Danio rerio: one gene and its partner. Each later gene encodes a partner of the first gene's protein in a complex. Links are inferred from orthologs where the notes say so. Each region holds a gene or a part of one and is shown in the gene's direction. Other genes may lie near its edges.

Region 1 (3,830 bases):
TGATCAGCTCTTCTGTATTGGCAGTTGTGGAAACTGCCGATCAAACTCTCCAGATTGATTTTTCAGCTCATTGTTTTTTATTTTTAATTTTTTTTTAGATATTTTCAATTTCTTGTATATTTCTAACACCATAACATAGCTAGAGACACTGCTGAATCTTTGGGTCTTTCTTCCATCAGATATTTCTCATAAAACTGTTCTCTACATTGTAGCCTCCAAATAAAAAGAAAAAGGAGAAGGAACGCTGTACAGCTCTGCAGGACAAGCTACAAGAAGAGGAGAAGAAACAGTTGGAGCATGTGCAGAGAGTTCTGCATCGTCTCAAACTGGAGAAAGACAATTGGTTACTCGCCAGTGAGTGTTTGAATAATCTCTTTTGTGCTCAGGTTTTTTTTTTTTTTTTTTTTTTTTTGGACTCATGCCTTTTTTTCCCTCCTCAGAATCCACTAAGAATGAAACCATCACTAAGTTCCTTCAGCTCTGCATCTTCCCCCGTTGTGTCTTCTCAGCCATTGATGCTGTTTACTGCGCTCGCTTTGTGGAGCTGGTTCACCAGCAGAAAACGCCCAACTTCTGCACCCTACTTTGCTATGACAGAGTGAGTCTACTGTTGTATGACAGACCATTAAAGGCACTTTCAACAAACAGGCTATAAAATATATATTTGTTTGTGTGTGTGTGTTTGGTCTGGGCTTTCCTGGGCAATTAATTGGAGTGGATTTTCATGTGCATTTTGTTTATAAAGCTGCTTGTAGTAAACCTCCAGCACATGCTTTCAGAATAGCATTTACTTCTCAAAATCATACTTCATAAACCAACAAATTTAAAATATATACCCAGGGAGAATTTTTAGTTATTTATCATATATTGACATGAAAATGTCAATTGTTTAATGTTTAATGTCTATTGATTATGCCATCCAATGGCAATAAGTTGCTGATGTGGCAATAAATAAACCAAATGGACAAGCTACAAAGTCAAAACTGATTTAGTTGGACAGTAAGGACACCGAGATAATGAGAGGTGTCTGTATTGTTTCTCAATGAATTAGGGCTGTGTAGTAAATTTTGCATGTGAAATTACTACAAATGAGGAGTATCTAAAATAAATGCTTCTTTTAGATTATTCTGTAATTATGTAATTATTGTTCATGCTGAAGTGCCCTCTGACCTTGGTAGATTTACTATTGATCACACAACTGTGATTCCCTGACAAGATGTGCATGACGATCACAGCTATGCTCAGTTGTGTAATCTCTTCATGAAAATGCCATCTTAGGGTGCTTTCACACCTAGACTTTTGTTTCGGAACCCGTCTCATTTTGCAGAGTTAGCGCGGTTCGTTTGGCATATGTGAAACCACCAATCGCGCTCTGATCTGCGCCAAAACAATAGCTCCGAGATGGTCTTGGCTCGATTGAAACGAACTCTGGAGTGGATCGATTGTAGCGAGAAAGCGATACGATCCGTGCCCAGTCATATCACAGTGTTTTATGGATATTATAATAGGCATATGGCTATATGAAGAAAATTATTAGTAGGGCGGGAGGTCATTCAACAGACATCCCAAGTCTCCCAGAAGTTTCGGAGGTCTGCCGCAAATGCACAGAGACTCCAGGATGCCCGTAAACGAGCGATAATGTCCCGGAAATCACGCATCTCCCTCCCGTTCCTCAAATACGTTGCACACCCTTCTCACCCCTTCCCACCTTATCCTTCCTCGCTCTTCAGACACGTCGCGTGCACCCTGTCAAACAATACCAAATCACTACCACACCTGACAGCTGAGCAGGACTCTATGTGAGGAAAGTTTACTCACACATGACTTGTTTTAGTTCTTTTGGTCCGTTTATAAACTTTGCAGTGTGAAAGCGAACCGGACCAAGAGCAAAGAGCAACAATGTAACAATTTTAATCCCTGTTTCGGGACAACTGAATCGATTCAAAGGTGTGAAAGCACCCTTAATTCTGCTAAACAACAGCTTGCTTGCCATGTGTTTCTGTGCCAGTGACTGCAGTCAAAGAGAATACAGTATTATCTAGCATTCAAGTTTGATGCTGTCATTTAGTTTTTATCTAAATGTTCAAAGTATTTATAATCATTTTATATTCATTAAAAATCCATGACCCTGTGTGCATTGTCAACCTACTAACCCTCTAAATCTGTTTCTTTATTCATCTAGGTCTTCTCTGATATCATCTATACGGTAGCGAGTTGCACAGAGAATGAGTCCCGCCGATATGGTCGTTTTTTGTGTTGCATGTTAGAGACTGTCACTCGATGGCACAGTGACAGAGCCATTTATGAGAAGGTATGGTGTGCCTTTATGATTGATGATTCGTTTAAACTGTTAATGCTGTCTCTACACTGTCCTAGTAGTAGCTGTGAACTGTGAATTTTTAGATGTTTGCAAACAAAAAAATGACGAAATCAAAAATAATTTGCAGTAATTACTTATTAAATAACAAAATGATTTTGTCTTTTTAAAATGAAACTTGGTAACAATAAATTATTCTGATTTTAAGAAACGTGTAGAAATGAGCCCCTTTCACACATACAGACCTTTCTGGAAAATTACCAGCAATTTTCCGGAAAGGTCTGTATGTGTAAATAGGTCCTTACTGGTAAATTTGTTATAAATAAAAATATATATAAATTCATAAAAAAAATACATACATACATACATACATACTAGGGATGTAACGGTATCAGAATTTCACGGTTCGGTAATACCTCGGTATGAATGTCACGGTACGGTATTTATTGAATCATTTACAGGAAAAAAAAAACTTTTGAAAATACTCCAAAAAAAGTGCCAAAAGTGTCAATGACATACAAATTAGCCATCTATCTGTAAGCTTTGAAACACTAACTTCAATTTTAATAACAAAAAAATATTAAACCATGTAAAAAAATAAAGTTTCAATTTAGTATTGTTGAAAACTCATCACATTCAACATTTAATCACTCACTCACTTAGATAGAGATGGGTTTAAAGGAAAATTATCATATAATTATAATCTGGTAAAAGCTGGTATCTCTGGGCATTTACAATGTCCCCTGCAACAGAAAAAAACCCCTCTCATTTGGGACTGAGGTTTCTGGAACAAGAGAGATATGACTTGGCCCAGGTTGACAGCAGTGGGGTAACATTGTGCATTGTCTTTCCCCCACTTGAGAAGACAAATCATGAGTGAGATAGAGGTCTCTTTGCAGTACAAGTCAATGTCTGCATCAATCTGAACAGTGTGCTGTGTTTCTGCAGTCCCCATGACTGTTATTAGTCGTATTCCCCAACTTGCAGGCACGTGCACACATAGGGCTCAACCTGTGCAGTGCACATGCCCTTTTTAGTCTTGGATAGAAAATGCCCTTCCAAAACGATCAAAAGTGCCCCCGCGACGCGACACACCCTCCGTCCAGTCCAGCCCTTCAGTAGGCGCGCGACAACACCTCTCTTGAATATGCGCGCTCAACCCCCCCTCGGCGCTTTACAATACGCGCGCCACAACACAGCTGATCAGAACGCGCGCCACAACACAGCTGATCAGAACGCGCGCGACAGCACCGCTATTCAGCACGCGCGCGGCGACAACACCCGCTTTAGGTTCGATCATTTCCATCTTTTTTTCATCTCCGCTACTAGCAGCACACTCCATTTCCGCATTACTGGATCTGTAGCGACAACAGACCGCAAAGGATTATGGCCACGCCGGGGCTGATGGGAAATGAAGTTTCAGCTACGTCCCGTTCGCTTCATTCGCCTGAGCAAATTTTCTCAGGAGACCTATAGTTTTACCGAGTCATGCGACTTCGGTAATATCGAAAAA
Region 2 (4,443 bases), about 17 Mb from region 1:
TGAACAGCATTCTAACAAGTATGACACTTCATTGAAGTTTGAAAAGTCATCCATCTGTATTTGTAAAATATTTATTGGAGATAAATAGACGAAAGAAGCCAACCTCCACAACCTCATCCACTTCGACTTCTCCCTCACCGAAGTGCACTGGATATTATTAGGAGGATGGAGCTCCGCCGTGTGGTCAGTGGGAGTCAGCGCTGTACGTGGATTGACCATGGACTCTGCCCGCGAACTGATGTCCTCTTTACCAAAAACACTGATGACAAAACTACTTACACAAAGTACACAGAAAATAAACTTTATTTTTATATGTAGCTACTCCTGACTTTCTAAAGTTCCTACAACCATCCAAAGTAGCCTACCACAGTGACCTGACTTTGAGTTCTTCCATTACACGAGAAGACAATTTAACAAACAACATAAAACACAGTAGGCCACTGACTGAAGTTTAAATGATCTGATTTATAAATGAGGCTTTTGGCTTAAATTATATATAGCTCATATTCCATGATTTTGACATTTGACAGTTTTGACATTTTTATTTATCTCAATGTTTTCAAAGCTTTTTGCCTATAGCCTAGCCTAGTTTACTTAGATTTGGTAGACCTATGATTGTACTTCACACTTATATGAACTTTTGGCATAATACAAACCTTTTGTTTCATTTTTATGAGATATAATATAATTTTGACCTTCTCTTAATTGACCATTATTTGATTTAGGATTTTCATCTCACAATGTTTACCCCATCATTTCAACTTATTTATCACATTCATAACAAATTAGCACATTTTCATATTTTGTCATTTTTTTAACCTAATAGCAATTTTTACAAAAAAAAATAATAAAATTTCTTCACTGTTAACTGTTTATCTCATAATGTTTACTTTTGTGATTTTTTTTTCATTTTATATCATCATTTTAAATTTAAGATTTGTATCCCTAGTGAAACTGCTGATCATATATTTGTTTTTTATTTGCCCTCATGCACAATGCTTTTGGATTGAACTTTTTTTTGGTTATTCATTGCAAAATACTAATTCGTGTTATCTTTTAAGGATATCCTGTTGGGTTTTTTCAATATTCCCGATAATAAAAGTAAGGAGTGTTTCATAATTAATCTCCTTTTAATCCTTGCTAAATTCCATATACACAGCTGTAAATTCTCTCACTCTAGGCTATATTTTGTTTTAATATTTTTGAAAAGGAACTTCAACAGTACATTAAAACTATTGCTTCCTTAAAACACATGATTTTATAATATGTGTTGTTTGTTTTTTAGTAAATTTTTTCCCTTGTATGTGCTTATTTGATGTTTTACTTCTCTGTAAAACTCATGTGCTCTCTTTGTAACAAATGTATGATGATGTTATTGTTACCCTGACAATAATAAAACTAAAAAAAGAAAAGAAAGTTATTTGTATCAGACTTTTTTAAACAATATTATGTAATTGCACTCCCGTACACTAGGTGTCGGTAAGTAACGCAATGCCACAGATTAAGCTTAAATACGCGACGAAGCAGAACTTCAAGCATGGCGTCCTCGTACTATCAGGAGATGCAGGAGGTGTTCAGGAATAACAATAAAAGCAGAGAGTTCCCGGCTCACAGTGCTAAAGTGCACTCGGTGGCCTGGAGCTGTGATGGAAAACGACTGGCGTCCGGTTCGTTTGACAAAACTGCCAGCGTATTTGTCCTGGAAAAAGACCGACTGGTGAGCTTTGTCTTCTCCATCATCCTTCGTTGTCCAAAACATATATTTAATTTATAAACCACGTTCTGCGTAGAACAAGCTGTTTAACATTTAATCTGTAAACTAAACTAGTATCAGTTTTATGCTACTAACGTTAATACCTATTTTTAGATATGTGTGTCTTTTTCATTAAGTACTGATACGTATTCAGTACACTTGTTGATATTTAGCCAACAGTTATTATTTAGCTACTACTACAAGTTAGTTTTCATTAGATGAATTTTAGATTCATTTTAGACAATAAATTAGACACTCGTAGCTATTAAATAGGTACTACTCATTAATTAGACACGTATGAATAGTATATTTTTGTTTAAATACTATTTACTCATCATCACACACTTGTTCTCATTTATTTCATACTAGTATTTATTTCAAAAGTGTCAAGTAACTACTTCTATCGCAGTCTGTTATTGGAATGTGAGGTTTTTAATAATTGTCTAGTACATATTTTTACTATGACTAGTTATTCTGCAAGTACTGATATTTGGGTGGATTTTATTGGAAATAAGGGCTTTTTCAATATGTACTAGTGTATAATTGTTAGACACACAAAGTGATCACGCTCTACAATAAGGTTCCATTGATAATGTTAACTAATTTACCAGCATAACCTAATAATAAACAAAACTTGTACAGCACTTCCATTCAGGCATTGGACAATAACCGTTTTCAAGGTATACCACGGTTAGGAAAAGTCAAGGTTTTAAAACCTCCAACATTTTCTTCTATACCATTCCTATGGTATATGTACGATTTTTTTTAATTTATGGTTTTTGTTGTTGTTGTTTTAGGACAACAGTGTGTCCAGCAGAAAAGATATGCAAACTTGTTTTACATGTTTACTGTTTTAAAATATTTAAAGTCTTTCTCAAAATAAAATATATTGTGTTCAAAGGGGGAAAAAGTTTTTAGTCTTTTACCCTGACATTTAAAAATAATATATTTTAGAACAGTAATCACAATACCGTCAAACCGGGATATTTTTGTCCAAGGTTATCTTACTGTCAGAATCTTATACCTACAATCCCATGCCTACAAAAATCTAAAACAGCTCTCATCTCCTGATGCAAAACAGCGCTCATCTCCTGATGCAAAACAGCACTTGTTAACATTAGTAAATGCACTGTGAGTTGGCAAGAACCAACAATGAGGCTTATTTTCAGTAAAAAACATTAACAAAGATGTATAAATACTGTTTGTTGTTTTTCATTATAGTAACCTCATTATCTAATGAAACCTTATTGTAAAGTTGTACTGTCATATCTAATAAATGCTTTGTTTTTATTTAGAAAGCAGTATTTACTTATTAGATACTCCATCATTTATTAGAAACTCATTCTTATTACAAGTACCTCTTTAACAGATGCTAGTAGTTATTTATTGTATCCTAGTACTCATTTATTTGGCACAAGTATTTTTATGTAGTTGTTATGAGTTGCTACTAGTATTACGAGTCACTACTGATTTTTATTTTTTATTTTTACTTGTCACATTTTGACTATTTTGGATGACTGTATAAGTGTTCAATTAAACATGTGCTAGTTAAATAAAGATATAATAAACATGAGTAGATGGCGTTGTATGTACTAGTATCTTTTCAGTATGTACTTAATGAATAAGAACTAGTTTCTAATGATAATCGGTAGCTAATGAATTACTACCAGTTTATAAACATTGTCACAATCGGAATACATTGTGAAAACTGACATCTTGTGACAATTGTGACATCTCAATGACAGACCTGTACAGAAGTCAATGGCAAATACCTAATCAAGTTACTAATTAATTTAATGTCTGCAAAATTACTTATCATTTCATTGACATTATGCATATTAATTATGTTTTAGCTGCAATAACAAGCTTTTATAGGTCATCCATTTGCCAAAAACATTACTATACTTATTCTATATCAGAAAAAACGGTTAATATTCACAGCATTGGCTACAATGCGGTTTATTATTTTACAATTTATTTGTCTTGACTAGATGTGATCTAGCTCATGTATTATCATATGTATTAGGTGAAGGAAAACAACTACCGTGGGCATGGAGACAGTGTGGATCAGCTGTGCTGGCATCCCACCAACCCTGATCTGTTCGTTACTGCATCAGGAGACAAGACCATCCGCATCTGGGATGTGCGGACCACCAAATGCATGGCCACAGTCAGCACAAAAGGTGAAGCTCTAAAGCTTAAAGTGATAGTTTACACAAAAATGAATACTCTCTCATCATTTACCCACCATTGAACACAAAATATAACATTTTAAAGAACATTGGAAATCGTTACTTATTGACTACCGTAGTATTTGTTTTTCATTTTATGGATGGCAATTTCCAACATTTTTCTAAACATCTTCTGTTGTTTTTAACAGACAAAATAAACTCAACTTTAGAAACTCTTGAGGATTGAGCTATGGCTTTCAATGTTATATGTTTTATTCTTGTGAGATTATATTATTTATTGGTTTATTGATTGTCTGACTATGTTTAGGGGAGAATATCAACATTTGCTGGAGTCCTGATGGTCAGACCATCGCTGTAGGTAACAAGGATGATGTTGTAACGTTCATTGATGCCAAAACACACCGTCCACGTGCTGAGGAGCAGTTCAAGTTTGAGGTCAACGAAATCTCCTGGAATAATGACAATGACATGTTCTTCCTGACCAACGGCAATGGATGC

Evidence for each region.
Region 2: the proteins of thoc2 (region 1) and thoc3 are in contact, whole or in part, in a cryo-EM structure (PDB 7ZNL), measured with the Homo sapiens proteins. The link is inferred for Danio rerio from reciprocal best matches to the Homo sapiens genes THOC2 and THOC3. Residues at the interface, in NP_001075019.1 of Homo sapiens: Tyr395, Arg396, Pro401, Lys402, Gly403, Ala404, Lys405, Gly406, Ser407, Pro446, Ile447, Ala450, Arg454, Cys500, Asn501, Ala502, Cys503, Met504, Glu506, Pro563, Arg566, Gln567, Lys570, His573, Tyr603, Leu604, Thr605; in NP_115737.1 of Homo sapiens: Asp193, Met196, Ile208, Val217, Gln218, Asn221, Ala222, Pro224, Ser225, Ala244, Asp245, Ala246, Leu247, Ser249, Trp251, Asp252, Asp254, Glu255, Leu256, Val257, Cys258, Val259, Cys261, Ser263, Leu265, Asp266, Pro268.

What each region holds. Positions count from the first base shown.
Region 1 is NC_133189.1:13,018,607-13,022,436, forward strand, and holds part of thoc2 (THO complex subunit 2), read left to right. Parts: intron 1-212; coding exon 213-354; intron 355-440; coding exon 441-598; intron 599-2,182; coding exon 2,183-2,311; intron 2,312-3,830. UniProt on the Homo sapiens protein: Component of the THO subcomplex of the TREX complex which is thought to couple mRNA transcription, processing and nuclear export, and which specifically associates with spliced mRNA and not with unspliced pre-mRNA.
Region 2 is NC_133189.1:29,777,332-29,781,774, forward strand, and holds the start of thoc3 (THO complex subunit 3), read left to right. Parts: upstream 1-1,525; 5' UTR 1,526-1,537; coding exon 1,538-1,717; intron 1,718-3,779; coding exon 3,780-3,936; intron 3,937-4,252; coding exon 4,253-4,443. UniProt on the Homo sapiens protein: Component of the THO subcomplex of the TREX complex which is thought to couple mRNA transcription, processing and nuclear export, and which specifically associates with spliced mRNA and not with unspliced pre-mRNA.